Linked DNA regions of Drosophila melanogaster. The protein of the gene in region 4 purifies or fractionates together with the protein of the main gene of each other region. This does not show direct contact. Each region holds a gene or a part of one and is shown on either strand. Other genes may lie near its edges. The genes, in order: Prx6c, capt, Sh3beta and Ntf-2.

What was found.
Region 1: the proteins of Ntf-2 (region 4) and Prx6c purify together in Drosophila melanogaster (affinity purification with mass spectrometry, with the first as the bait; one large-scale study listed by BioGRID). This does not show direct contact.
Region 2: the proteins of Ntf-2 (region 4) and capt purify together in Drosophila melanogaster (affinity purification with mass spectrometry, with the first as the bait; one large-scale study listed by BioGRID). This does not show direct contact.
Region 3: the proteins of Ntf-2 (region 4) and Sh3beta purify together in Drosophila melanogaster (affinity purification with mass spectrometry, with the first as the bait; one large-scale study listed by BioGRID). This does not show direct contact.

What each region holds. Positions count from the first base shown.
Region 1 is NT_033778.4:10,415,912-10,420,679, reverse strand, and holds Prx6c (peroxiredoxin 6c), read right to left. Parts: upstream 1,963-4,768; 5' UTR 1,876-1,962; coding exon 1,793-1,875; intron 1,731-1,792; coding exon 1,356-1,730; intron 1,293-1,355; coding exon 1,217-1,292; intron 1,154-1,216; coding exon 1,025-1,153; 3' UTR 919-1,024; downstream 1-918.
Region 2 is NT_033779.5:1,151,178-1,159,646, forward strand, and holds capt (capulet), read right to left. Parts: upstream 5,135-8,469; 5' UTR 4,792-5,134; coding exon 4,569-4,791; intron 3,877-4,568; coding exon 3,375-3,876; intron 3,230-3,374; coding exon 3,105-3,229; intron 2,555-3,104; coding exon 2,209-2,554; intron 2,142-2,208; coding exon 1,594-2,141; intron 1,524-1,593; coding exon 1,000-1,523; intron 939-999; coding exon 855-938; 3' UTR 501-854; downstream 1-500. Other genes in the region: Vps29 (vacuolar protein sorting 29), read left to right, coding at 1-234; Tango14 (transport and golgi organization 14), read left to right, coding at 7,799-8,290.
Region 3 is NT_037436.4:7,363,293-7,371,769, forward strand, and holds Sh3beta (Sh3beta), read right to left. Parts: upstream 5,969-8,477; 5' UTR 5,643-5,968; coding exon 5,598-5,642; intron 4,899-5,597; exon of another isoform or gene 4,780-4,898; coding exon of another isoform or gene 4,771-4,779; intron 4,693-4,770; coding exon 4,267-4,692; coding exon of another isoform or gene 4,261-4,266; exon of another isoform or gene 3,549-4,260; intron 3,225-3,548; coding exon 3,150-3,224; intron 2,919-3,149; coding exon 2,870-2,918; intron 2,817-2,869; coding exon 1,954-2,816; 3' UTR 1,778-1,953; intron 1,673-1,777; coding exon of another isoform or gene 1,568-1,672; 3' UTR 1,292-1,567; downstream 1-1,291. Other genes in the region: Sec63 (secretory 63), read left to right, coding at 1-478, 561-739.
Region 4 is NC_004354.4:21,033,362-21,042,408, reverse strand, and holds Ntf-2 (nuclear transport factor-2), read right to left. Parts: upstream 6,941-9,047; 5' UTR 6,796-6,940; coding exon 6,688-6,795; intron 6,579-6,687; exon of another isoform or gene 6,319-6,578; intron 6,011-6,318; coding exon 5,939-6,010; intron 5,871-5,938; coding exon 5,772-5,870; intron 4,800-5,771; coding exon of another isoform or gene 4,689-4,799; exon of another isoform or gene 4,415-4,688; intron 3,664-4,414; coding exon 3,550-3,663; 3' UTR 2,694-3,549; coding exon of another isoform or gene 2,476-2,693; 3' UTR 2,463-2,475; intron 2,395-2,462; 3' UTR 2,374-2,394; coding exon of another isoform or gene 2,250-2,373; 3' UTR 2,025-2,249; coding exon of another isoform or gene 1,971-2,024; 3' UTR 942-1,970; downstream 1-941. Other genes in the region: CG15449 (uncharacterized protein), read left to right, coding at 1,971-2,024, 2,250-2,373, 2,476-2,693.

The DNA.
Region 1 (4,768 bases), on a different chromosome or scaffold from region 4:
GGCCAAAGACCAAAAATACATACATAAAATGGTGACCGTTAATTAAACTGTAAGTACATCTGTCGAAATTTCTGAATGAACAACTATTAATTTCATTTTCCCAACAGCATCAAATTGCCTACCTCCCCACCACCTTCATCGAATCAGAAATGGTAGAACAAATTATTCTAGAATTTAAGAAAGTTCTGCAAAGTATTAGCCATCAGGTTTAATCTTAGTTAAAATTAGTTAACTATTAAGCGTACACAATAAAGAATGTTTCTACCAAAAAACACTTCACTTACAGTTATGACATTTATGATTCATATTCCGTTGGAGTAATGTTATATTTAAACAAGAGAAACCGCTATAGTCAATTTCCTCGACTATCAGATACTCTTTAATTAGCTAGTGGGAGTGCGAACGAGAAAGTTCAACATATGTATAATAAAATGAATAAATTTCAAAGGCGTTCATGCAGACGGACAGCTCAGCCTCGACTCGGATATTGATCATGATCAAGAATTTATATACTTCATATGGTCGATAAGGCATCATTTTATTTGTTTTATGCTTTTTAAGAAATCCCAGTATATCCTTTTACTCTACGACTAATGGTTTTAAAAACTGATGCATTCCGAATAAGAACACTACGATTTTGATAAAATAAAAAACCAAATAATTTGTCAAAAAAGGTACACCATCTCATTTTCACTATTATTCCATCGTATATATTATACAGTTTTGACTTATTTACCAACTGCAATAGAAATACATCAATAGATTAAAATCACTATACCATCCGCAAGGAAATAAAAAACAGACATTATACAATCTAAAAGAACGTCAAAATCGCAGTAACTCCCCTAATTCTGATTGGATTACATTATTCTCCAAAAATTTCTTTCATTAAATCAATTAAAATAGTTTGGATATTTTGTTAAAATAATTTTTTATTAAATAAATGAACTGCACATAGTATATAGTATATGTCAGGAAATACGGCACATTATTGAATGGATCACAAATGGGGAACGGTTTTGTGTCAGTAGTTGTCAGTGGTGCGGACGTAGTTTACTCCAGACGGCATGGATACCTTATCAAATCCCTTGGGGAAGAGTTTATGAGCCTCTTCATCGGTGACAGTGGGCAGGATCATGACCTTAGTGCCAGGCTGTTTATGAAACAGAATTAATTAGTTCGGAACAGTTCGCATTAAGTGGGTAGAAAAACTTACGGTCCAGTTGGCGGGAGTGGCCACCACCTTGAGGCGATCAGTCAGCTGGAGGGAGTCAATGGTCCTCAGAATCTCGCTGTAAGATTAAAGGATCGTCAGTTGAGATTAACAATAGTTGTAGCCCGAAAGAGGTACTTACTCAACGTTGCGACCAGTGGACATGGGGTAGAACATGGAGAGGCGCACCTTATGGTCCGGACTGATGATGAACAGGGCGCGGATGGTCTTGCCCACCTCGGGATCCTTCTTCTGCTCCTCGTCGAGCATGCCCAGGCTGACGGCCAGGTCGCGAGTAGGGTCGGCGATGATCGGGTAGGGGAAGTCCCCGGGAATGTCCAGGCAATAGCTCTTGATGTCGTTCACCCAGTCCACGTGCGAGTTCAATGCGTCAACGGAATGTGCCAGGCACTTGGTGTTCCGCTTGGCAAACTCCGGCTGGTGCACCGCAATCCTGCCCAGCTCAGTGGTGCAGACGGGAGTAAAGTCGGCGGGGTGAGAGAAGAGCACCACCCAGCTGGCGATCCGAAGAAGAATTGGTAAGATTCGATCAGAGAAAAAGGGTTTGATGGCACTTACGAGTTGCCCTGCCACTCGTGGAATTTAATGGGCCCCTTGGTTGTGTCGGCCTCGAAGTTAGGTACGGTCTGTCCCAAACGCATCTTGCTGTTTGATTATTAGTTTCAAAAAAACTTAGTTGCTCAACTGGTAGCTGCTTTTAGCTCGCACACTTGTTGCTTACTGAATACTGACTGGGAGAGCTGGCTGTCTTTTATACCCAACGTGATCGACGTAAATAGCGGGTGCGATAGAGATAGGAAATGGGCGCTCCCTCAACGCGCGTGTTTGTTTGTAGTATATTATTCTGTGAACAGATTATAAAACAATACTGAACAGATTGTGGAGTAGTTTGCTTTGGTGGGGGGAGTGGGAAACCTTGAGCATGGTGTCATGTGTGTGAAACTCGACAGGGGCCTCTACAAAACGTGGTACATAATTTGGACTTTGAGACGAAATGCTTCTGGAAGTATCTTAGAATAAAGTACTGTTTTCCTTATTTGGTTCTTCATTAATCTCATTTTAAAAGTCCAATAGGCGCAAACTCCTTTAGCATCTAACATCCAAACAGCTGATCTGGTCCAGCTGACAGATAAGCCGGTTCCAAACATAAACAGAGAGCCAGAGAGCATTTAAATGTTAAATGGTATTGGTAAATAGAGGCGAAGCACCAACACCTGCAAACATACAGCCACATCGATAGGCGGATATTGAGAGCAAGAGAGCGCCGAGCAGTGTGATGGTATTTGTGAGTGCCTCCAAAAATCGCACACTTCCATAGATCGCACGGCTCTCCCGTTCACGTACACAAAACGAGCCTCCAATTGAAAGTGAAGAGCGAGTGAAATCATGAGACTGTGTGCGTGGGTCTATCGAATATTAAGCACACCAGCATAGGTTTTTTTTTCAGTAAAACACACAAATAGTTCGAATGGGTTTTGGAAAGTCGGATGGGCAGATCGCTAACTCAGAAGACAGTACCCAAATGGGATTCAGATGGTTGAAATTAAAATAAAAGATATAGTCATCATGGATATTCAAAATGCAGCAAGTGTTAAATTTATTTAGAGGTGGGTTATCTTTAACAAAATTGGATTCACTTCCAATAGCTCGATCGTATTTCCTAAGTTACTAGTACATTCGTAAGAGGGTGCTAGTTATAAGGTCTAATCTAAGAATTCAGAAACCTTCGTCTCTATAATAAACGTTTTGTAGTAATTTTCCATTACTTATCAGTTTTGTGATACCGAAAATAGAATTTGTTTTAATCGTTAAAAATTTAATGACCTACTTATTAATAACAATTAATAAAATTAGTTTAAAAATATTCGATATTTTGTAACCCAGCTTATTTAAGCTCACAAATTATCTTGTTTAAAAAACAACCCTAATAATAAGAACAAAACAATAACAACAATGTAAGAAAATGTGTTTCTTTTTGACTACCTCTCTTAATTAAAACTTATGAGGATTTTCACTTATAGCCGCAAGAATTCAATTTGGCCGCGCATATCGTTGATATTAATCCTTATAAATATGTTACATTTAAAAAAACATCAGAAAGAAACCCGCCGCCAAAAGGATGTATAAAAATATTCGTTTTCGCCTGAAAGTATGCCCCAGCAGACGATTTTGCTTACCAGCTTGATGCATTAACAAAATGGCTTACAAATGTAAGTCAACCAATATTTTGGCTGAGAGTCTCAACTTGAGACTGATATTAGTGTTCCAAAAGCTATTCTATTTTCGCATCGGTGACTGTAGGAAGAGCTTTTGCGCCTGAAAGCTAACGCTTGAAGTCAGCTTCCGAACAGCTGATTTTGATAAGCACCGCAATCGCCCACGCCGCATGTTTTCCTTTCTGCTTTCCTTCTTTGCTTTCGCTTTGCTTTGCTTTTTGGCGCTCCGGCTCAGTTCAAATTTAGCGATGCGCGCGTGCGGTAGCTGAGCGGTCGAAACATAACGGTAAACGGTCCTCGAAACTGTTTTTTGACATATTTGTCTTATCGTATCGCCCCGACTTTGAGCCTAGGGACCGCCGTTCGTAGTAAACTAGCATTCTGACAAAGTGCACACACCTTTTGGCAGGCGGCGAAAACTTTTGTCCGCGAAAACTTTTCCACTTGTGTGTTGTTTGCCCATGCGGTGCGTTCGCGTGTGTTTGCCAACTAATCCAAACATGTGAGGCTACAAACAAATCATCTTTAACACTATCCACCCATTCAAACGGAGCGTTTTCCCAAGTGATCTGATCGCCTCGTAGTAAAAGTTTTCCCTTGACCAGCTCTAATGGTAAATGCAACGATAAAGTTGTTTTCCGAAATTCGGCGAAAAGTTGCCAGCCAACTGTCCTCATAAAATATGCCAAGACATTTACATCGCCCGGCCCAACTGCTTTAAGCCCGCTGGCACCCGTTGGCCATCAAAGTGTTAAAGTGCTATAAAAAACAGGTACGAAAACATACTCCCTCGGTGCCCATTGAATAATGCATTCAATTACGAATGTCGCCAAAATAACTAGAAAAAAAAATAAGCAACAATTTATGCGCACGTGAGGTGTGGGCACAAATGTTATTATTCATATGTACACGCTTTTGTTTACTTTGCCTAATGTTCTCTTTCGGACCGACAATTAATATTTAAAGGTACTCTTGTAATTCATGTTGAATGTAATTAAAGGATTGTTTGGTAGGTAGGTAATGCTTTTTGTTGTTCAGGCAATTAAACATTTCAGTGGCCCATTTAAATTAAATTAGCTTAATACGTACTATATGTGACTTTAAAAACTTGTTGGCATTTGGGCAATAACACTGTTAAAAATAATTGTTTAAATAGTGTTAAAAATATATAAAATAAAAAATCAAGATTAAATAATAAAATAACTTTAACTACAGTTTCACAATAATACAGACCCGCCATTTAAGGTATTTTTTGAAAATACCTATTGAATTTAAATACAATTAACAGCTTATTCGAGATTATTTAAAGGTTCAAAAG
Region 2 (8,469 bases), on a different chromosome or scaffold from region 4:
CTGGACGTGGACATCCTGATCACGGGGCACACGTACAAGTTCGAGGCCTACGAGCACGGCAACAAATTCTACATCAATCCGGGATCGGCCACGGGTGCCTTCAACCCACTGGACACCAATGTGGTGCCTTCGTTCGTGCTGATGGACATTCAGAGCACCACGGTGGTCACGTACGTGTACCAACTGATCGGCGACGAGGTCAAAGTGGAGCGCATCGAGTACAAGAAGATCTAGGGTCCTAGTATTAGCCACCAGCCATTCCCCTCCAATCCAACCCTTGACCCCTGCATTCTGAGCTCGGCTTCATTAAAGAAATTGTAAATGTACGTAGCAATAAATCAAGTTCTCATTTTTTTATCTGATAAAAAATGCTAGCACCTTGTTTAAATAGAGAATAAAAGTACGAACGGACGAAAGTGAAGTTTTAGATTTAATGCAATAATAAACGATTACAAAGTAAGGAAAAACACCCCCAGAAATTGTGATACTCCCACAATAATCTGATAAAAAAGTTTAAATTTTATTAAATAGAATATAAAAAGGAGTTACATCTGATGATCGAGTAAAGAGTCTGCTCAAAAGTTCGGATTTCATGCTCAGTTTCTCATTGCAACACACTCTCGATATAAATACATTGGGTTCGGTTTGTGGCCATCGCTTTTCCATCGAAATAAATTATATAAATACTTTCCACGAGCCAGGACAGCAATGTTTGGCAACATCATCAATACGAAATGTTTGATCTAAAAATCTTTGAATTACGAAAACTTTGCACTTAGATTAAATACAATTATGATTGCTGCTGACGACAGTTGGAAAAGCAACGAACAGGATCCCCGAGGAGGAGAACCGCCTTAGCCGAGGCTGTCCACGCACACAGTCTTCAGGGTCTTGCCGGCAATCGTGGTCTTATACTGCTCCGGTAAAGCCAACTCGGTCTGGAAATCACAAAAAAAATAAATAAATGACTGAAGACAAGAGACAAATTTTTGAACTCACATAATCGCCGCTGTCGTCGGGCAACAGGATGTTCATCTCCGAGGACTTGGAGTTGACGATCTCCACGCCCAGCGAGTCCTTGGACAGATACATCTGGCAGCCGTCGGTCTTGTCGATCGATACCGTCGGCACCGAGCCGAGCACCTGCATCTGCACGCTCTGGCAGTTGACGAACTCCACGGAGGCCACCACGGAATCGAACAGCAGGGAGCACTTCTTGCAGGAGTCGAAGACGATGTTGTTCACCTTGCCCTTGACGGTCAGAGTGGATCCCTCACACTTGAACACATACACCACGTTGTTCATCTCGGCGTTCTCCACCAACAGCCCGGTGTTGTTCTTCTGGTACTCGATGATCCACTTCTTTCCGTCGCGCTCGAAAACGGGCGCCTTGGCTTGCGCAGCTGATGGAGCAGCAACGGCCTTGCTGCCGCCCGACTGGGCTGGCGATTTGAACGGAGCCGGTCCAGTGCGTAGAGATGGATTTTTATGGGTCTGCATGTCGCCAGTGACCTTCTTCAAGCCTGCGGGTTTATCAAAAGATACATTTTCTTACTATAGGAGCACTTAACCATTTTTGCAGTTGCTGCTCACCCTTGGTGATGTCGGCACCCTGGTTGATCTGGGCGAAGAGGGCGCTGCGATCATCTCCGGCGCTATCCAGCTTGAGGGCACTCAGATCCAGCATGGGCGGCGGTGGGGGCAGACCACCGGGTGGCGGTGGTGGCGGGGCACCTCCGGCGGGGGCCGCTCCCTTGCCGGACCACACCAAGCCCGTGGTGTGGTACTGCCGGATGTAGGCCTGCAGTTCGGTGAGCGTCTGCACCCAGGCGCGGGCCCACTCCACATGCGTAACATCCTTCTCCTTCCACTCCTTGAGCACGCGGTTCGTGTAGAACTGGCCGGCGTCGTTCATCTCCTTGACATAGGGACCCGGGGTCTTCTCCACGCACACCCAGCCCAAGGCGGGAATGCTTTCGCTGATGGCCGACAGGTGGTTGAAGAAGGGCGAGGAGCGGTGCTTCTCGCGGAAGTCCTGGATGGCGCTGATCTGCGTCGAGGTCGGCTTCAGAAGCTCCGCCTGCTTGGGCTGCGCCGGCTGGGCGATCTGGGTGGCCAGCGTCACGTACTGCAGTTGGGAGCTGTTGCGGAATTGAACGATGGCATTATTACACTTTTACCATAGATGACTCATCCAGACTGACTCACCCAAAGGCGCTCTTCACGAGCTCCGCATGCTGCGCCACATCGCCGCCAATTTTGGCGGAGAGAGTTAGGTATTGGCTCAGCGGACCCGCCACAATGTCCTCGAATCCGGCGACACTCATGTTGCTGCTGGGCGGCGAGGGAGGTGGAGGTGGTGTCTCTGCTTTTTCAAAAACTGGAAGAGCTTCTTCTTCTTCGGCTGGCGGAGGCGGGAGTGTGGGCGTGGGCAGTTCTATCGGCTGTGGCGCTGTTAGAGTCCGTTCCAATCGGTCGACGAGGGTCTCCAGTCGCTCGCAAATGCTCTCCAAGTGGTCGACGGCGGCCGAGGGCTTGGCTTCCGGCTCGTTATCTGAACCAAAATGACGCGGAGGAGAACGGCAAATGTTTAGTTCGTTTTGGCAATTATCTCGAATTATTCAAATAACACTGAGTTTTATAAAGAAAATAACTTGAGTGAGATGATGCTTCAGCGTGATAAACCCCAGTGAATCGTGCACTCACAATACCTGACAAAAAAGGCGATATAAACTAAGGCGTCTCGAGAGGAATACCTCATCACGAGCTTGTGTATGATGATGAACTGGTGCGCTTAATACTTATAAAGTTCAATATGCAAAAAGAGCTAATCCCAACGAGTGAAAGTAATAATCCACATGCAAAAACGGCACAAGACAACGAAAAATCATAAGAGAGAAGAACTAAGTTGAACCTTTAAACGGAAGCACTTGACTTGCGAACTTATTGGCCATCAGGAAGTTACGTGAATCGCTAGACTCTCAAAACTTCTTCACAGCGAAAACGAACACATAAAGAACACAGAAAGTCAAGCATCCGCTTAAATAACTGCTGAGATCGAAAAAAAAAAGCAAAAGAATCGGACTCTATCGAAGCTCGCATACCCCGCACGGCCACGCTATGCTCCACAGCCGCATGGGCGGCCCGCAGGAGCTCCGTGTAGAGACGCTGGCGCTTCAGCTCCAGCTCGTCGCGTCCCACCGGCGTGACCGGGGGCTCGATGCAGCCGCTGGACATGGAACGAGGACAGAGGAGACGATGTACTGGCAATTCAAAGCGGGGCTGGGAATGCAGGGGTCGACCTGTTCTGGTTTCAGCTTAACTATATGGATATTTTGGGCGTGAAACCAAAACAGGATCTTGGGTAAGCATACATGTCGTTCAGGCGCTCGTCGTCGAACCACGAGGGTAATCCGTGGGCAAAGAAGAGTGTTTCCGAGACGACATCCCCCTCGATGTAGGGTGCACACATGCTCTCCCGCTTGGGTGGCGGCAGTGAGTCGGAGAACACCTCGTCGTCGTCCAGCAAGGAGCCCTGATTCTGGCTGGCCAGCAGGAGCAGTGGCAGTGGATCCGGCTCGATGATCTCCGCCCGGTTGCTGATATTCACCTTCTTCTTGATCGACTGATGCGTTGAGTTGTGCCTGGACAGGCAGCTCTTGGTGGGCGGCGGCTGAGGAGGCGGTGTGGTCGGCGTGACCGTCGCCACCACCACCACTTCGTCCGCCTCCTCCGCGTCGCCGCTGGTCATCGAAGCAGGTGGTGCCGTGGATGTGGAAGAGTGCGTTGAGCGGGCCAGTGGCTCCGGTTCTTTGGGTGCTAGTGCTGGATTTGCTGGTGATGATTTGCTAGCCGCTTCAGCCTGAGTTGGTTGGGCTGTGGAAGTGTTGCTTAAGATTACTCTACATGAAGCGACGAATTACCAAGACGATCATCAAGGAAAGCGCCGATACTTAAGTTGATTACTTCACTTCACTCTCTGCTCACCTCGCTTCCTGTCTTCATTATGTTTATTTATCGCATTTAAAAGCATTTACCATGGTCACTGGCAGATTGAGTAGTTAGTTTTTACTGCTCACCTTATTATTATAGAATCTATAGAATCTTGAATTTTCTGTCTAAATTATTGACCTTCATTTTAGTTTCTATATTCGTCACTACTATATACTATACGTTCACTTTGATGGATGAGCACGATCTAAGTGCTCAACAAAAAGTGTGTATGCAATGTCATTAGCTATTCCTCATTAATCAACTGAGAATCGGCGCAATTCCTTGATATTCATATGTATAAAATTCACAGAAATAAACCGAAGAGAAAGCACAGTGAAGACAACTCATAAGTAAATAGAAAAGGACACTCAAGGCAGCTTGAAGTGCCCGGATTGAAATGAAAGGAAAGATCAGAAGTGGTGGTCAGCTGCAGTGGCATTGCAGTGAGTGAGAGCCGGCCGGATAGGGGCCTTCGTTCCGGAGAGCAGACAAAAGCCGAGACAGCTGTTGAGCTCGAAGGCCGGAGAACGCGAATAGATGGGGTGGTGGGTAAATACTTAGCGTTGCGTCAGTACCAGTGTTTGGCTGGGTGCTTGTGGGCACATCCTCGGGATTATGCGCTTCCAAGAGCTCCTTTTCTGGTTTCACAGGCTCTGGCTCCTCCTTCGGAGTTCCTGGCTTGCCGTTCAGCTGGGGTTCCTCCTTTTCGGTGACCTGTCCGCCGTTCTCCTCCTCTGCGTTCCGCTTTTCCTTCTCCTTCTTGCCCGCCTTGGGGTTCGATCGGCAGCAGGAGAACATTTTGCAGGCGTGTGGCTGGGCTTTTCCGGTGCTCAACACTCTAGGTACGAATCAAGCACATTATGTAAGTTCCGTGGCTCGACTGCGGATGCCCGTGAAGCTCAAGCGGCGGTCACAACACTGACGGCACACCAAACCAAATCGAATCAGTAGAAGCAGTAACAGCAGCAGCCATATAAGACACTCAACGGGTTTCCAACGAACGTGGCCACTCCTTGCTCACTGTGTACATATATTCAGTGTATGGCCCAAATTTAGTGGCACATTAATAAGGTCCTCCGAGTTGTCCGCGCCTTCAACTGGGTCAAGTGACTGCCGACCAAGCACAGAACCAAATGGCACACAAATGCGATTACACACGGAGAACAGAACACACCCTAAACGAAGCGCACGCCCACGCACTCGGGGATTCGATTCGATTTCGAACTCGAACTCGAAGGTCTCAACAGGACTCTGTTAGGAGAGCTCCGCGCTGTTAACTGCTGAGTTTCGCCGCCTTGTTGGGCTACTCCGCGCTGCTTTTGACCATTTGGGGCCAGCCACCGACTGGCAATGAAATGTGTTTCATTAATAACCGCTTTTGGCCTGACATGCAGGATTTTGTGCAAGCTCCGGCGATGTCTTGCACTTTTGCAGCAGAGAAAGCTTACGGTCCAGGCGGAAAATGGAAAACTCTCCGAGAGAGTTGCGCAGACACCACTGTGATTTCGTGATACCCTTCTCGCCACGGGTGGCGCGACTTAAGTGAGGGAAAACCACGGCGATCCCATAGTTTTATCAGCCCTGTAAGGCAGGGTTCGCCTATCAATTAGTTGTGACAACACCGAGTTATCTTTACTATTTGGAAAGTTTCCAGGAATGATCGGTAATGAAACTATGATTCCATTTTGAGCATTACCATAACGTTTGTAAGCCATAGAGAGTAGAGAGATGCAATGATCATATCTTAGCCGGCTATAAAAACAGTTTTAAAATGTTCAGCTTTTTGTGAAGTAATCTGCCGCAGAAGAGTATAAAAACGTCGACGTAACTGAAACTCCCATATCGTTTGCTTGCCAGTTTTTGTTTTGGCCTTAGTGCAATGGGTTTATTGCACCGGCAACGTTGTTTTTGTTTTTAAGTAGCTTTAAACAAATGGCTGGCAATTAGAGTGGGAAATGCATCAGTAGCCGTTGGATTGGAGGGAGGGGCTAAGCCGCCGAGGACAAGTAAGCCGAGATTCAACTTTCGCCTGGCGATACTAGTTCTCCTTGCAGTCTTGATGCGTTTTCTGCGGCAGATGCGTTTGTTGCGTGCAGAAAGCAAAGAAGAAATGGGGAAGAAAAACTAGAAACCAAGATTAAATGTCTGCAGCTGAGGAACCGTTATTCCCGCTGCGAGAGTGTGAGTGAGCTCGAATTACCAGGGGTGGGGGGTGTTCGTAATGGTAGAAGAAAAATCGCCCACCTTATAAGGCGAGGTGTTATTTTCTTCCACCGAAATCGAGTGAGTGGTAATATCTGCCGATTTTCAATCGCGATTCGCTGATAAAAGCGTTTTGGCCAACTTTTTGACTCATTCGCGCACGAATACAAGCAAACGTGTTTGCTCTTGCGTAAACTACATACATGCATACATACATATGCATATCAACTATGTGTCTGTGAGTCAGCGAAACAAAAACAAAAAATGGCCACAACAGCTGAGTAGTTACTTTTTTTTATCGGGGGTTAACAATCGCAATGGGAGCTGCTAAGGGTTAATTTGCATACACTTGCTGGCAATGAATTAGTTGTGTCTTTATGCCATGGAATCGGATATGAAATCATCGTTAAAAATACACCATGTAGATTTAATTTTACAAGCAACATGAATCACACAAAAATAGCCATCACACAGCTGTCTCTTGTCTTTTTGGCTCTCTTCGCTGTTGTTGTTGTTGTGTGTGTACAAACACCCACAGCCTGCATCACACACACACGCTCAAATTCGTGACAGCACCACCCACCCCTCACCAATAACCGTTAATTCCGCAGACACTTTCAGCCGGCGAACGGGAGAAGAGAATTTGCGAATAATAGCAAAGCCCCGTTTAAATGAACGTTTTTAGCAACAATCAGGCGTTACTCACCTTCTTTTGCTGCTGATGAATTTGCAAGGATCTGCAGTTGTATTCCAATTAGAACTGACGAGAAGCTGCGTAGCGAACACCGGCGAAATGGCGAAAATAATAACTTGGCGTGGCCTTTGGTGGGACCAGGCGTACATTCGTGGAAATAGTCAAGCGAGTTAACCCTTATGTGGGTGGCAGAATACTAAAAATATATGATACAACAAATTTTAGACTTAAGAAAACGGATGTTTAAATGTATAAAATATGATGGAAGTGCAATAGCCAAGCTTATAAACTAATTCTTAAATTATTTGCAATGCATTTAGGACTTTTCGATATACACGTAAATAAACTATATTTTGATTGAACACGGTACATTTCTACTAGAGTTCACCTTCAGATATTGACGCTATTTCTTGTCCTGTAAATTATTTTGTTAAATCGTTCACATTGTATGTCTAATAAAGATGTTTTCCAATAAAATGTTATTCCCTTTTCACTTAGTCTAACATATTCATTAAATAATCAATGTTTTATTTTTTATTTAGTTATTTTAATTAGTTCTTAATTATAAAACTGCTCTAGATTCTCGATATTTTGCGGAATCCGGCGCATGGTCACACTGACGAACACGTATTTTCATTATTCTTGCGAAGCGCATCGCTTAAAACTTGATTACGCTCGGATAACAAGATGCACCCGCGTCTCAAGTGACTGAACAGGTAGCGAAGTGACCCTGGATGAGCGTGGGTAGGCAGCCGGCACCTCTGGAAAGCCCTAATCCCAGGTCCGCCAGCCGTTTGCAGGTTATGTCCGCTTGTGTACACTGTGACGGGGAACCGAAGAAGCAACAGGAGCGGATTCCTGGCAGAAGAGACAACCGCTGTACGAGATACCGCCCCTGACCTGCGCAACATGATCGAGGTGCTGTGCCTGCTGCTGGGCAGGATCCTGCTGCTCCTGGTCGGCGGCTACGAACTGATGTGGCGGCTCCGAGAGCGACTGAATGCACTGGCCGTCCGGTCATATGACCTTTGGCGCAGCAAAGCGGCACGTGAGGCGCACGAGCGGCGCGTGCTCGCTGACTGCCGCTCCCAGTTGACGAAGACGCCGCAGCATCTGGTCCTGGTTATCTCCCCCGTAGATGCCGGCGTGGATGCGGTGCTCCTCAGCAGGATCTTCGACTTTGCCCTGGACGTGGGCATCAAACACGTCAGCCTGTACGACAGGCGGACGAAAGGCAGGGGATACGTGGACATGGCCGATCTCTGTCGATCCACCAACGCGGACACGGGCAGCTGCTTAAAGTGGCCACCCGTAGCCAGTCCCAGCAAACTGGAGAACCAGCCCAAAAACGGACAAAAGACAAATGGTTATGTGAACGGTTCACATTCCCCTCAACTGCAGGTGAGTGGCGGCGTCTGATAAGCCGTGATTAGTAATGGACTTTAGAACGATGTCGGAAAATGTCTTACAAGTATTACACTTTTTGTTTCAATTGTTAAATAAAAGAAGTAATGAGCTGGAGATTTAATTTAGTTCATCATTCACATGAGATACAAAAAATTCTTCGTGCTGAGAACCAG
Region 3 (8,477 bases), on a different chromosome or scaffold from region 4:
GCCCAGAACCAAAAGAACCAGAAGAAGGTGCCGGCCAAGGCTGCGACAACAGCTACGATCACGGCATCCGAGGATCAAGCGGCGGCGGGTAACTCCGATGCCGAATCGGAGGCTGGAAATGCGGATGGCAGCGATGTGGAATCGGCTGCCGGCAGTGGCAGCGAGGATGAGGAGAAGGGCAAGAACAACTCCTCGCTGGACGACGACGATGACGAGGAGTGGGAGCGACTGCAAGCTAAGCTTAACAAGAGGGAGCGTCTCGAGGGCAAGTCTCGGCTGTCGCACACCGTCCACTGCCCCTACTTCCCCGAGGAGAAGCAGGAGTACTGGTGGACCTACATATGCGATCGCAAGTCGCGCACCCTGCTCACAGCGCCCTATCATGTGACCAATCTGGTCGAGAAGGAGGAGATCCAGCTGAAGTTTACCGCGCCGCGCTGGCCGGGCGTCTACACGTTCACCGTTTGCCTGAGATCGGGTGAGTTTCTAAAAGAGTTTGGATTGCATAGTACATTGGCATTCGAAGGGGGGATTCTCACACAATGTTTCCTCTGTTTCAGACTCGTATTTGGGTATGGATCAGCAGCAGGAGCTGAAGTTGGATGTACAGAAGGCTCCCGCACCACCGACGGATCATCCTCAGTGGGATCTGAGCGAATCGGAACCGGAGCACACCGATCAGCAGGAGAACCTGAGCGACTATACAACAGATACGTCCGATGAGGAGGACGGCGAATAAATCCACTGTCTACATGGACAGTGCGACGGACGGACGGACGGATGGATAGACGTCCTGAACCCCAATCAACCTCAACCTCCTCTCTAATTCACTGGGACGGAAGAGAAGCCTCTTTGTTTTCCTTTTAGTAAATGAGTTTCGCGTGGCGCGTGGCGGAGGCACACCAATGCGAACCCTTCCTTCGCATTTTTACTAGTTTTGTAATGGAAAAGACCCCGAACTAGTGCGTAAATAACTATAACTTCATTTTACCGTGTACTGTACTAAACATAATTATAATGTACTGTATATTTAATTATTTGGATACAAGAACTAAAAGTGAGACACGTAAATACAAAAGTCTATTGATATTACTACTCTTTTGTTGTGTTATAAACTGAGAAAGAAAAACCCACGGGCTTGTTGCTACTTTCGCTCACTTTAATGCTGAATTAACATAAATTTACTGCACAATTTGCTGAATTTCTAGATTAACATTTTATTCAATTAAATAAATAGCATCACAATTACTTTAATTTAAACCATTCAAGTTATTGACCACGCCTAAACCTTAGCAATTTTTAAGTTTTTTTTTTTATTACATTTTTGCTAAGCCTTTGGATAAACTAATTGCTTACAGCTTTTAGAATTTGAATATATTTTAGCGCAAAAGTAAATTAATTTTGTAATAAATAAAAAACGGTTGTATCATTGTTAGAGTATCGACACATAAAATAATAAATCAGCAAAAACAAGTGAGAATTGCAACAAGCCCGAATAGTTTGTGGAAATCATAAAAATAATTTAAATCAAAGTTGGCGCTGCCTCTGTCTGCGCTGACGTCGACGCCTACTGCGCAGCCGCTGCCCGCTCGCTGTCCAATAAGAGATCCGATTGGGAATCTGAAGTCTTCTTAGCTGATGCTGCTGTTGTTGTTGTGGTCGCTGGTAACTTCTTTCATTGTTGTTGTAGACAGCAGCGAGTTTTTTGTTGTTTGTTTTGGGAAAGGAGTAAAAATTGTAAATAAGTCACATAAAGGCCTAAACTAGGGTTCATTACCCGTCACCAGACTCGTTATTAGTGGGTTCTTGTTTCTATTTACAAAACATTTTTGGTATTATTTGGCTAAATGTGCGTTTTTTTATGTGCGTGTGTGTGTATGTGTGCGTTTTGTGCATTGGTGTTTGTGATGCGGATGTCAGTGCGTTTTTTGTTGTCGTTCAATCGATTTTCTTTTACTCTTCTTCGCTTTCTTCGGAAGAGGAATTCTCGCCATCCGGTTTGCTTTCTTCATTTTCGGGCGTGTCTTCTGTCTTCGTTTCTGCAGGTTTTTCCTCGTCGATTGGTTCTTCCTCTTTGGTTTCCTCTACAGATCTTTCGGCAGTCATAACTTCTTCGGGCTTTTCTTGAGCCTCATTTTCATTAGGATTTTCTTTAATATCTTCAAATTTTTCGTTTTCCGTACTTACAACCTCGGATATTTCAGTACTACCAACTTCCTCGACCTTTTTGTTGGTCTCATTTTCTTCGAATTCATCTTTCACATCCTCCGATTCTACAACCTCATCATCTTCGGTACTTTTAACCTCTGATTTGGTAGCACTATCCGAGTCCGCGGACTCTTCTGTTGCATTTTCCTCGGTCTTTTCTTCAACATCCTCGTCTTTATCATTCTCATTGACTTTGGTGCCTTTGGTGTCATTTTCCTCCGTTTTTTCCTTGGAGCTTTCGGCCTCTGATTCTTCAACGGCATCAACTTCCTCGGACTTTTCTTGCGTCTCGTTTTTCTCCGATTTTGTATCCCCATCATCATTGGTGGCCTCAACATCTGGTTTCTCAGTAGTGTCAGCATCCTCCGATGTTTCTGCGGTCTCCTCACTTCCCTCTAATTTATCTTTAACATCCTCGGATTTTTCAGTTTTATCATCCTTAACATCCTGGGAGTTTTCCTTATCATCTTTTACAATCTCGGATTTTTCATCCTCATCATCTTTAACATCCTCGGATTTTCCAACCTCATCATCTTTGGTACTCTCAACCTCTGATTTTTCCTTGGTATCCACTTCCTCAGACTTTTCTTGGGTCTCACCTTCAGCGTCTTTACGGGGTAGAAATTTTGATTAGAGTCTAGGGACGATCTTCCTACTTTACCTGTAGTTTTCTCCTCCGTTTTCTTGTCCCCAGATTCTTCGGTTTCAGTCTTTTTGTGGGTGGTGGGATTAGGGGTGCGAATGTTTTGTGGGTTGTTGATTGGTGGTTTTTCGTTTTTTTTTTTTTTTTGGGGGGGGGGGGGGTAAAGTGGAAGTTGTATTTACAAGATCAGACAATCGCTAGGCTACTACAGTGCAAGAGATCATGCCTTTGTTAGCTCCTATAAGCTCTAAAAGCCTAGAGTTATGGTTCGGTCATGCAGGATCTATCGATCTATTACCTTTTGCTCGGCATTCTCTTCATCTGCGTCTTCATCCTCGCCCTTTGAATTCTCCTTGTCCTTGCCGTCTTCGTTCTTTAGAGAATCACTCAATTGTTAGTAATGTTTTTACATTACGAAACTGTTTCGAAAAAGTCGGTCTTTAAGGCAACAAAATTGCTCAAGAATATTGAAATTCACCATATTCCTGTACTTTTCGTGAAAAGTTTTTTTCGTCAAACCTAAAGACCAACTTTGGAAAATCTCTCTATAGATATTTGGTATTAAAAAAGCCTTTTTGTAAATTAAGTTGTCACATTCTCATTGTTAAACTAGCCGTTGATAAGTTGGTGTTAGAGTTTGAGTGTGTTGCATAGTGTTAGAAAAACAAGCTTGCGATTGGTTATAGTTTTTTTTTTTAGTTAATACAAATATATTTCCTTTTATTACAGGGGCAGCGCTTTTTTATGTTTTAGCATTAACATAACGGCTGCACAATAAATTTCAGCTCTCTACACTACTCCAACTTAGGCTTAAGTGCTCCGAGTAAGTATTCCGAGTCCTTATTACAGGTGTGTATAAATGGTACATACAAGTTGTTTGGATGTCAGTTAATGAATATAAATATTTTGATTAAAATTGTCTTTTCACCGGGGGCCAACACAATCGAATGCCCTCGTTTAAATACGCTCATGAACTTAGCTTAAGAACCGCAGTAGTCATAATGAATTCGTTAAAAATTGAAAGATCTTCGATTTCATGCTCTACCGATGAAGGTCTAAAAAGTCTCTAAATAAATCTCGTAGTTTTAAAAGTTAGTTTTGTAAATTTTGTATAATTTAAAAGGAAGATTGCACTTCATATTCTGCAATTATCTATACAACTCCCCCAAATCCCTATGGGCATAGAAATCGAAGACGGGCTCCATAAAATATTGATATATGTATGTAGAAAGTTGGTAGTATCTGTGCTGTTAGGTAAACATTGGGTGTTATTTCTGCTGTTAAGTGTAAGGGCTTTAGTTTCAAGACATTGCTGTTGTTGTTAATTCTATTGCTCTGCTGCAGATGATTGCTGGCTGCGTTTGTTGCGTCGTAACAGTTAACGGAAAATACGTGAAAATAGCTCAAGTTCAAACCTCGGCCTTCTCAGCAGCCTCCTCCTTGACATCCACATCGCCATCGCCGGCCTCCGTTTTCTTATCCTCCGCCTCCGTTTCCGCCTCCTCCTTCTTGGCATCGCCGTTCTCCTGCTTCAGTTCGATTTGGGCGGTACTAACTGCCGTGGTGTCGGCTGGAGCCAGCTTGAGGAACACCTCCAGGGTATCGATCTCGTTGGCCATGTCAAAGGCGTCGTAATCACCGCAGTACTCGTCGTCGTTGAACAGCTGCGGAGGAAGCGGATGACGGGGCTCTGGATCGCTGACCGTTCCACCGTTGCTTGTCGATTTGTTTTGCATCAGCTCCTTCTCGGATTCCTTGCCGGGCTCCGTGATGTCCACCGTGTCGTACTTGATGTTCTTGCTGTCCAGGATCATCAGAACGCGCTGCTGGCGCTTCTTCACCTGTAAAATTGGATTTCGACGGTCAGTGAAAGCATTTAAATTTGAAAAGAAAGTTAAAAATTAAAGTATATAAAATACCTTTAACATGTATCGTTTTGTTCAGTGTAGCTACCTTTGACAACGCTGTTAATTACAGCGATGACAAATCGCTAATGAAGTGTTACCGGCAAGCCCAAACGCACACAAGCGCACACAAAGCCAACTCCCCGCCGATATAAACATATGTACGTAAAAAGAACGCCAGAACCACGCGATATGATAAGGCTAATTAAAATGGTTTGTTGCACCCCAGCATTTATCTTACGATAAGAATATGTGTTTCCCAACGCTTTTTTAAAGTGTACAAAGACAGGACAAAAACAAATAATTGTGAACCGTACAATGACCGTTATGTTTTTGTTCTTATTGGAAGAGGAAGATTGCCAATTGAACAAAGGCACCGAAAGAGTGAGAGGGGGAAGTGAATCACCCCTCACGCATGTACACACACACACACATGCACACGCACCCACGCAACTGCGATCAATGGAAATCCCTCTCTTCCATGAACAATTTACAGTTCACAGTGGAATGAGCTTATATGGGCAATGAAATGTATGTTTGTTCTGCTTCTTGCCACCACTAACACTCGCACACAAGGGCACTCACGAAAATACCCACTTGTTTTTCTTTGACTGTACAGACATACAGACTTACATACCACACACTACATCATCATCATTGTCCAACTCACGTACATACACACAAAGACGAAACGCAGCAGAAGAAATAGAATTTGCAATGCGTTCGTCACCACTTTAGTTTGCTTCTTTTCCTTTTTATCTGTTTGTCGCTAATACCAGGGCCAAACATTCCAATAACATGACACTATTTCGGTTTTAAGCCCGCCACGCCCACAAACTCACCTCCTTATTGCCGGACATGCCGCTGACGTAGACTTTCAAGACCATTTTCGCAGATTACTGTGTCCTCGCACCGCAAATGAAATAATATTTTGCAACTAAAATCTGCTGGCTACTTTCACGGCGATTAAAAATATTTATAGATCTTTTCTTTTCCTGCTTTCTTCCGTCCTGCGCCCCTACGTAATGTTTTTCCACTGGTGACGAAGGCACACGCACTGGGCAAGGTCGTTGGTTTTATTGGCTGTAAAAACGGCAAAGACGCGGATAAAAAAATTGCCTGGCGACGCTTATAAAAGTGCAAAAATATTTGATATCAGGAGTGGAAAATATTTCCTACTTTGTCGTTGAATTGAATGGTGGGACCGCGCATTGACGGCTATAGAAAACCTTCCGGCTTATCAAATATACTAAATATGATGCTTGATTAAAATACTAAAAACTTTGAACTTAAGTGATATTTCAAAATTAAATATTTTTAAGACAACTTAAATTTTATTATGCTCCCATGTAAGGTTTTCATTTTTTAAACGTTCTTCGATTAATAATCGTAATAATAAAATAATAATTTATAAAAAGCATAAGATAGGCTTTTTAAGGTTTTTTAAAAGATAGAAGAAAAGGATTCTTATTATAGAACAAATTATTTTTAATTTGGCGTCGATGAGTTAGCGGCTTCAAGGAACGGTGGAATTTAGAACATGAGGGTGTTTTTTATTTATTAATTTTTTGTTACTTGGAGTTGAATTCCATAAAAATAAAAATGCAATAATGCTAACTTTCTACAAACGACTTAAGGTTATAGGACTCAAGAAAGTACATAGAATATGCAATTGAAAAATGTTCTCCCCAGACTTTTCGGTTATTTGAAGTTTTTGCTATATTTGGTAGAACCATAAAGTATTTTTTGGTATAGATCCGTTAGCAGGGCAACCAATATTAGCGGTCGCCATGCGGTCACTCTGTTCACGTCCCGTCACGCAAGCATCGTCGTCCATTTTTGCTAAGAAGCGAGACGAAAATTTGTAAATTATATCTAGCGAGTCGCCGAGGACGAACAACTATTGACAGTGCATTTCAGTGGCCTTTGGAATACTGCTCAAACAACCAGCAAGCAATAACATTACTTATATCTAACCGAAAACCTAAATTAATCACCCAAACTGAAGTACGGACGTGAATGTAAGTGGGTATGTGCCAGCGGACTAGTGGCACAATAAAAAAGTAAATAAAGCGCGTGTGAAGTGGTGCAGAAAGCAAAAAAGCAGTCGGAAGGAAAAATCAAAATACGCATTAATGTAAGTGCGATTGTTGGAAAAGCTGTTTAACTTTTTGTTCCTCTGAAAAGCTGATAATGATATGCGATGCGACCATTTTTAAAATTTCATGAAATCAACATTCCAACTCACAACGGTGTGCGTGTGCGTTTCTTTGTGTGCGTGCGTGTGCAGGCTAGAGTGGGACAACCAGTGTGATCGCTTTGGCTGCTGCCATTTCGTTTGCTTTTTTTTAAACTAATCTCTGGCATTTGTCACGTAAAAGAGTATAACGTTAAACCCAAAAACGTTTTGTATATGGCTTTAAATATTTAATAATTGTGGGCAGAGACAGCAACACCAGCAGCAGACGCATACACACGTGTTGCGGTTTATCGAGAGGGCAGTGTGCGTGTGTTAGTGCGGAAAACAGCTGGTACAGCTGCCGCTGCAGCGACGAAGAAGAAGAAAAGAAAGAAAGGGGAAGAGTGAGAAGAACACGCATTATTATCCTGCGTAGTTTTCTTTTATCGGTGGTTGTTCTGCTATTGGGTTACAGTTTACACTTTTCTCTGTTTTCTTTATTTTCCCTCTGCATTGCTATGCATTTTGCCTTTGCGTGGTGGTTTTTTTTATTTTCATTGTCGGTCGTCCTTTAATTGCGCTGCGCCACTTCGTTTCGTCGCTTTCTTTGGCTGGTTTCTCCTTCTCTTCGGAGTTTCTGGATTCGTATTCCGATTCGGTATCGCCCTTTTCCTGCGACAACAGCAGCTGGGTGCACGGTATCGGAGCTGTCGGCGATAGCCGAAAGAAGCTAGAAACCCCAAGGAAGCCAACATCCTTTTAATTGTCGTGGAAACTATAATAGTCTCATAAAAATTAGGTTTTTAAAATGGTTTTGTCATTCTATTCTAGAAAAAGCTATGAATATAAGAATATAACAATATGTTTAATTGCTTACTAATTTTATTGAACAATATAATTTAATCGTGACGAAATGGGGGAAAAAAAACATTTTTTTGTTGTCTTGAATTTTTTTTCCTCTCTTGTCATGATTATTTAGGTAAAACGGACGTCATCAAAGTCATTAAACTTACGCGAACTTCGCATTTAAAAGTTTTTTACTGGCATTTCTATTTTTAATAGCTTTCTGGGGAAAATATCGGATAATAGCTTTTCAAATTATGCATTGCTAGCAACTTTGACTAGCGAAAAGTATTTACTAAAAATTTTTGTACCTTCCTATTTTCGGCGCTCTTTTTAAGCAAAGGCCCTTGTTTTGTAGCGTTGAAGCCTCAAATTATTTCCAAAATCACGCCCCATAAGCGATAAGATAAGAGAGCGTACAATTGTTGCCCACGATACATACAAGGCGAGAAAAAGTCCAAATTGCCAGCATTGGCGGCCATAAATCGCTGCACCATTTTCTTTTATCGGCTGCGTGTGCGTGAGTGCACGCCTGTGAATCCTGTTTTTTCCTTGAAACCAGTTTGCGTCCGTCTTTTCTTTGCCAGCAAGGTGTTCACTTCACCTTACTCATTCATTGTTTGTTTGCCCATTGCAGCCGACGCTTGATCTTCCATCTGCAGCATCCATCATTTGGAATCGAGGCAATAATCAGCATCTA
Region 4 (9,047 bases):
TTGTTCTTTAAATTCCGATTTTGTTTCGGGTTTTATGATTGATTATATAGATTAGGTAGTTCGGAAAATGTTTTCTTCTATTTAATTTGAATTTATCAACATGCTGAATAATTTTTCTTGTATTCTCTTACAATGCATTATTTTCGGAGTTCTATATTTCAGTGAAAGTTGTACCTGAAAAATTCTTAGTCTTGTAACCATGTAGCTCGGTGGGGTATCATTTTCGATCATAGTTCGCAACTAGTATAACTAGTTTTGCTGTCACTGTAAAGTGCTGGCGATTAACTTTTAATAGAACTACAATAGCATGGGAATTGCTGCTAATTACCGTAAAATTGCTGAAACAAAAAGCTTGCCAAAGCTCAATTGGATTTCGTTCTGGTAGTAAGGTCTTGAAAAATGCATTTTCAAAATTGAAACAGAAAATACGGATTAATCAAAACATTGAAGCGATAAGAAGGTCTAAATATAGTTTCAATGCGCACCTGTGTCTGCGTTGAATCATATCAAAAGTTGCCTTCAAACTGATAAGCTGGGCTTTTGATAATAAATAATCGTATATGTACTTCTGCTTGCTACCAGCCGAAATTATTCTAAAAACATATATTTATTTTAATGGTTAGGTTTTGAAATTAATAAAGCAGTTGATGTTAAGTTAAGATAAATAGGTTCAACATGTGGCATAAACACTCTATAGAGAACTAATTTAAAAATTAAAAATAGATTTGTTCAGCTGTAACAACTTATTTTGCATGTTTTCAAATTGACCATAGAACACAGGAAGTGTTATTGTTTTAGTCAGGAACAAAGTATATATTACTTAGATATATATTTTTAGTCAGAATTGACACCCAACTAAATCTTACCGTGTCTGTTTATTTCCACGTAATCGTATTTACTTAAACTATTAAACCTATTGCAGGTATTAGATAAGGCAATAACAGGCCGGGTCGGAAATGTAATTACTAATCTAATTTTATATAAACTATATAATTTAGCTGAACTAGGAGCGAGCGGAATGGGATTTGCAGTTTAACGTTCGTAAAAAATACAGGAAAAATAAATAGAAATAAAATACATTTTATTAAAACAGGACGACTGTAGTCGTCCAAGCTAGTGGTAGCTAAGTTACTATAGGTGAAGGGTATATAAAATTCGGCTTACTTTTTATGTTGCTCTAAGCTTTTAATTGCACTTAAAAAGTACAGTACTTGTAATATATTAAAAAATATATTCCATGCATTACAAATCCACTTTTATATCTGAAAAGCGTTGCAACACAACCTTACAACCTAATAATTCCCATGAAGTCCATAAGATTATTCATGATTTGAGGAAGTGATTTCCCCGGCGATATGTTTTCCATTATCCACTTGATTACCATCGGAAAATTGGCGACCCGTTGGCCCCGATTCCGCGAATTAGCTCCGATCTTGGGCCCCGAAGGTTAGGCAGCAAATTTGGGGTAATGGCAATGCGAGCACAATGAGTCCGAGTCCATTGGGCGGCTGCCCACTGTCCACTGGCCACCCACCGGCACAGAGCATGCATGCAGATACAGACATTATGCTCCACTCAATCAAGCTGGAAGGGATGGGGCTCGAGTGCAGCTGGCAGCGGAGAACGCAGACGGTCTCCACTTCAGAGATGGAACCGAGAGGCCCGGCGGACGTGGTGGACGTGGGCGGATACACAGGGATGGGAACAAGAATGAAAAGCCTATTTCCTAAGTGTAATTAATTAATTTCGCTGGCTGGGCCCGACTGCGCCCAACTGCAAACTGCAGCCGCATTTGCCTGCCATCCGTCATCCATTTCCGAATCAGAATCAGTTTGTCCAGCGCTCTGCCGTCGCGAGCACGCTCCAAAGAGGCCAATCGGAAGAACTTTGGAACTTTCTTGAGTTGCGACACGTACATTTTCAAGCTGGACCACATTTTCGAGGACTGTCAGCGGCAGCAGTTTCACAAAATGTCTCATGGCGAGCGAAAAGGCCGCCTCAATGTGGTCAAGTTTCTCGAACTGGTAAAGGATTTTTTTTTCAAGTGATTTTACTGCAAGTTCTAAGGATTAATGAATTAATGCAAAAAGCAACGCGTATGCTTACTAAACAATGGTTTGTCAAAAAAAAAAAAAAAAAAAAAAAAAACGACTTGGGAATTAAAAGAAAAGACCCGAAATACCAGATAGACTCGGAAATTATAAGAACACCAAGAAGCACCACAAATGAAAATCCCCTCACTTTTCCAGGGTTTTGCGGTAGCGTGTCTGGTGCTCCACTTCTACAGCTTCAACGATCGCGATATAATGACTTCGTTCCTGGCCACTGGCACCTTCACGGGCTACATCATAGTGGTCATCGGGGTCTTTGCAGGTACGCCTTGGAATGCCAGTCCTTAAGAGTTAAAATACTAAAATAAGTTAACCAAAAACGAAATTTGCACACAAATCTACTTAAGATACCTTGCAATTGCAGGCGTTCTGATGCGGGCACCCATTCACAAGCGCATCGATATATTCTTCAGCGTCCTGGGCTGCACCTTGTTCGTGGCCAGCGGTGTGTTCATCATTGAGGCCTGGGAGTTCTCCTTCCGCACCCGAACTCGGGATCTCGCGCTCATCAAGGCCTCGCTGTCCATCGTCAATGGGGTGCTATTCGGATTCGATGCGGTGTTCACATTTCGCGACAAGTGAATCGTTCAGTTTTTAGACGGAAACCACTGGCCAGATCCGCTGGAGCTTCTTTCGTATGCATTTAATAGCTTATAAGGGTATACATATCTTTCCGGTTCAACTGGCCATTCCGCCAATCATACAAACAACCAAACTGTTAACGTTTATCTTTATATTTAAGTGTTTTTTTTTTCTCTCAATAAAAAGTAATTCGCCATCGCTCAATTAGTCATATGAGAAAGCAAGAGTCGATACTTGCGACTGTGTGTGGTGCAGTCCCGGTACTCAAGTAATTGTTTACAGAGCGAGACACTCGACACAATACATTTGCAATACGGCTATCTAAAATAATCCTCATAATTAAAGTACAAATAATTCAATTGGAAATATAAACGGTCTAGAAAATCACTCTAAACTTATGTAGGCGATGATCCCGGCCTGCTGTTCCTGCTCATTTCACGGGAATTCGAAATACGAGCTTGTAGCACGGCACATACCACCAAATTCGATAGTCCTAGCTAAATTAGATCGCGAGATCCAGGTGTTCGCAGAACATATAATTCTAGGGTTCCGTGGATCGTAAAGCGAGAGTACCGGCAACAATGGGACACAAATGAAGGTGAGCTGGCGGCCCATTTTGTTGACATCGTAATAGTAGTTAGCGTTATTTTCTTATTTTTTTATTGTTTTTTTTTTTTTTTTCTTTTTCTAACTTTTGTATTTGCTGATAATCGTGAGACCGCTGGCTGGCTTTGTTATATTTTTTTTTTCTGAGTTCCACTGCCGAGCTTGTTGTTATCATCTGGCGCTGGGCATCTTTGGATGTCGATTATGTGTGGTGCTGAGTGGTGTGCATACGTAGGTAAGTGGAGTGCTCCTAGGCAGAGTTGTGGATGTTGAGACGGAAGATGTCGTGGGCCACAAAGAAGGTGCCTGCGTTGGCCTTCAGGAAAAAGACCTGCGAGAAGGCATGTGGGGGATCGTCATCGCACTGCAAAGGAATGAAATCATAAATACGTTAGCAGATGCCAGGCAAACCAGTCACATTTAAAGTCAATAACACAAGCGTGCGAAAAACCAATTTCAACGTATTGAGTTAGATATGAATGGAGTACACACAGTTTGAAGCCAGGGTCAGAGGGAAAGGGTGTACAACTGGCAGCCGATTGATCGTGTAAGGTGCGTGTTTACTGTACAGGGCTCGCTCGATAAATTGAACATAACTCCAAAACATTTTCACGAGCAGAATAAACTTTATACCAAATGTGCGAGCAAAATTATTATTCACTGATATAAGAACTTCTCAAAACTTTCCTCAGTTCCATTCAAAATTGAACAACATTTGAAAGTTTTTTTTTTAAGGCATATTAGGGTGCGCTTAACAATTTGGGATATTTACAGTTCTCTTCTTCGAGCTATTGAACAAAACAATATGCAAGTTAAGACTAGTCAATTGGTATTTGGTTTTGTAACAAATGAAAAACAGAATTTTTATAAGTGCAATATCAATTGAAAGCATCTAAAAATATAATATAAATATAAACCGTTTAGTTAAAAATGTAAAGCAATAGAGGTTACAGAAATTGTTTGTGTTACATTAAAATTGCATTATTAGGAGGTTCCAGGTCCCCAGCGACCAACCGAAAGAAAGAGCAAATCCAACTCAAAATCAACGAAAACCATGCACGAAATGAAATGCGCAACATTTTGATTTGATTAATTTTCGTTGGACATTCACGTACTGTGAGAATAATTAGAAGAAATTGGACGACGACGAGACGCCAAGGATAAATATTTTTGTATATGTGGGCGGAGTGGGCATGGCTGGGCGGCATAAGGTCGACAAGCAGCAGAACTATCTTATCGCTTAGATATGGATTTCTTTCGTTTTTTAACTGGCTCTCGTCTCGTGTCTGCTGGCTGATCGTTTGGCTGCTGATCTCGATCTCGATTTACACACATATAGCCGGGCGCTGGAGTCTGTGGACTGGGCGTGGCAGGTCGGGCTCGCTGGTGCTACACATCGTGCAGCGAGAGTCGGAATATATCGTGCTGCACAAAGAAACTGCCGCCCACCGGCTTCAATACGAAGGTCTGAATATAGGCATGCGGCTGATCCTCGTCGGTCTGCATTGGTTTGTTTTGGCATTTGTGTTTCGTTTTGTAATAACCAGAATTGAGATATTCGATTCAGATTCAGGTGACTTATATGGAATAATAGATGCAGCGGCGGTCGGCAAATAGCACTGCCCTTACGACTTTACGGAAGAATGATGAATGATTTCATATCTTAAGTGATGGGCGATTGAAATTTGCTTCTACGTCTCTACATATATCCACTTTGAACAATAAGGTATCGTAAAATACATTGAGGCAGTTACTCTTTTTAAAATTCATTTCATTTATCTACCTACTATAACTGCATCAATAAGTCAATGGATATTATATTCAAAACAAGAGAGAATGCTATGGTCGACTTTTCCGACTGGAAGTGAGAACGCGAAATTTCATATTGAACAATATGAGTGGGCGTGGCAACATGGATCAACAAACTTGCGCTGCGTCGGTGTCTCTAGGATCGGTCTGCTTAATATCAACCTTCTAGCTTTTATAGTTCCTGAGATCTCGACGTTCATATGGAGAGGGCCAGATCGACTCGGCTATTGATCCTGATCAAGAATATATATACTACATTTTGTCGAAAACGATTGCTTCTACATGTTACATACTTTTTAACGAATATAGTATACTCTTTAACTGCACTAGTAACGGGTATAATGTATCTTAGAATGAAGAACACTTAATGGAATAAAGTGGCAGGCTTAATAAAGCCCATACATGATAACAAATAAATGGGAAACAGTGCAAAATAAATAATGTTCTTATGTGAAAGCCAAAACAAAACGTTCTATTTGTTACAAAAACGATTGTCAAGCATTTACGTGTTGAAAAGACCAAAAATAAAATTCAAAACTTGAAAAGAAAATCGATTGAATTGGTCGGCAGTGCTAATATTCTAACCGCCGCCGCAGGCAGTCATTGAATTTCCCCCCGACAGCGAGTTTAGGACAGTTTTCTTGTTGAGAATTCTGGTTTTACCTGTAGTCTTCCAAGGACGTTGATCAGAACTCCGCCATCGAAAGTTGGCTGCGAGTCCACTGTGGTTATCACTCTGGTAATCTTCTGAAAGCTCAGACTCTGCAGGAATAGGAAGGGTATGCAAAATATTATACATATGCCCATGACTGTATATAATCAGGACTTACCTGAACTTTTTCCAGAATCTTGGGTGCCCCCTGTATTTGGTGGCCTTCAAAGGTCATGAATGAGTCGGTAGCCTGGAAGTATAAAATATATAATGATATAAGTGTTATGATGATGTTTTACTTAGTAATGATATTTCGTATTATTAAGAACAAAATTGGTTATAAAACTGTTAATATTTAAATTAAAAACATATCAAACAGATAGTTTTATTTTCAATACTTTATCATTATAGACTTTTTTATTCTTTCATTTACTCTTTTATGTGACAAAAAAACTGAATTGATTGAAACTAATGAAACACAATTATGCCATATTTTTCAAGATATTAATACAATTTTTTCACGAATTTATATCGTATATTGGGCCCTATTGTGCTAACCGCAGTTGTATGTTGGCCATATATTTCGTATGTGTGTATTTATTTATGCGAGCATGGGCGTAATGTGTCACCCGAAACTTCGAGAATCGAACGCTGCCCCCGCCCCTATCAACATTCATCCTATTCCCACGATATCACGGATACGCCGACCGTATATCTCCAGCTGCTCTTTTTCGCGCTCTTTTTCGCATTGCAACAGTTTCTTTATTCATTTTCTGCTGAAAGGAGGCGGAATTTTTCAAGGGCGCGCCGCGCGTCACCTGTGCGTGTGATGGGGATGGCAAGCGAAAAATGTGCAGGCGAAAGCGGAGACGGGAATAAAGGAGAGATGAAAGGCGACGAGCAGAAGCGGGAAGCAACAACACTTACGCTATAGAAATTAACCACGTTCGCCCGATTCGCCGGGTCATCGAATATCGCATAGTACTGCTGCACAAATCCCTTGCCAATGTCCTCGTACTGCGGATTCAGCGACATTTCACTTGAAGGATAGGCGGAACGCTCAGAGATTATGGGAAATCCGATCCGATCGCGGCGACACGAATAATTAAAAAAAAAACCAAATGAAATCAACCGACTGCGCTCAGATCACCACTCTTTGTTAGGGGTGGAACAACGTCGATTTTGTCAGACACTATCGCTGACTGCTATTTCGCAACTATCGATTACGATACCCAGGGCTACAGCCCGATGTCCTAATAACGAAATCGGAATTGGAATTTGAAATATGATTCGATGATGATAGGGTCACATAAATGTAAGAACAAATTATTGCATTTCTGTCAGGCGTAATACTTGGTCATTTGGAAAACAATTATTTGTGTTTCATATATTATTTTTTTTCCTCGCTCGGGACGACTTTTCTTTGATTTGTTGTTTAATTGCAGGTCATACTTAAGCTAACGCAACTTACAATCCATTGTAAGGTATCTAAAGTTGATTTTTAGATCCGTTTATTCATAATGTGGAATCGCTTGTATTTTCACAATTTTCAGACGGGAGGGATAAACCAGATATTGAAAGGATGATGTTTTCTTCACATTCGGAAAAGCATATATCCACCCCAATTTATTACTAAAATTAAATATTCATTGCCATTTGAAATGATATTAATATAATATTAATAATAATTTTATTTTCGATATACAAGTTTATAGAATTTATTAAAGCTAGTAAGCTGGATTGGTAACGATATCGATAAGAGTGACCGATCTGGTCACACCGGCAGTGCGTATGCATCGCAGCAGGAAAATTTGCGTTTGGCGCGCACAATTCGTGGCAATGCTCACCACATTTACGGACATCGCGCGCCTGCGCAGGAGTTGCCTCCATCACAACACACACCTATGTTTGGTTCGCAGGATTAGGTTTTTTTTAAATTCGTTTATTTGACATATTACATTTAGCTAAGAACAAAAATAAAAAACAGAAAAACAGTTGGATGGCATATTCAGTATGTGTCGCACGTTTCAAGGCACCTTTGAGCAGCATTATTACCGTCTTGCTGGTCGAGTCGGCAACGCCAACTTCAGCTCCTTGGAGTGCAGGGCGTTGGACATCACCGTGCGATCTTTGGTTTGACACCGTCTTTGCCCTTACTCGGTTCTTCATAGCTAAAGAGGCCATTAGGGATGGTCTGTTGGCTAGCATCAGTTCTTGCGGTGCATTTGGCATGCGAATTCTCCTCCTCCGGCAGCCTCACGCGCAGCTTTAGTTGGAGATCCTTCAATCTGGCAAATGTGTTCTTCATTGCCAGATTAATGCTCCTCACCCCGTTGTATAATATATCTCCCATCTCCTCGATTTCTAGAAAAGGGGGCCTTGCTGGTTGGGCTCTGTTTGGGGGGGAGGTCACTTATAATGGCCCCTTGGGGGTGCCATCGTTTGGCTTATAGGGTGGGGTCCTTAGAACCTTGGACTGCAAGGTGTGCGGCCCTATACCATTCGCCAGGTGATGGTTACGGTGCTGGCCGATGAGGCTCAGACACAAACCATTCCGCCGGCCACCTTGGCTCAGACGCAAAATGGGTTTTTATTATGCTGCTGCCCGGCTGGTCAAGAGAGCAAGCGCAGCGTCATGGACTTAAGGGTTGGGTGTGAAGGGTGAAGTTCCGACGGGGGACTCATAAGCGGAGGGGTTGGCTATTGGTCTGCTCCGTGATTTTTACACTATTACTGTGTGTTAGAGACAGTCACTCCTGTCTCTATTTAGCTGCCGCGACACGGAAAATTTTCGGGTTTTCCAGGAGCGTTAACTCGATTCGCCCGGCTACTCGCGCGCGTCCCCAGTGCTCTGATTACACAGGATTAGGTTTTTTTTTTTTTAATTCGTCTATTGAACATTTAAGATTAAGATTAACAGATTAACAATGTAAAAGTAAGGAGGGCAAATCCAGGACCCCCCGCGGTATGGCCGTGAAGCATTGCTTCGCGAGGACGATCAGGATTTGCAATGCAAAACAAGATTTTTTCGCATGGTGCCAATTGATCAAAAATAATATAGATTTAAAGTCTAAGAACTTCTGAGGTGAAGGGCATATTTTGTCAAATTTACAATGCATGAACATACGTGTGCACACATACAGTTGTCTGCTATTCGCTGTAGCGCTCTCCGCTCTCTCGCTCTCTAACAAAAATTCGAGAGAGCCTGGAGCCACCTCTAGAGCCACGGCCAAAAAATCGTGTGCCAAAAAATCGTATGGCGTTACGCATCTTGTTATTCTAGTGTC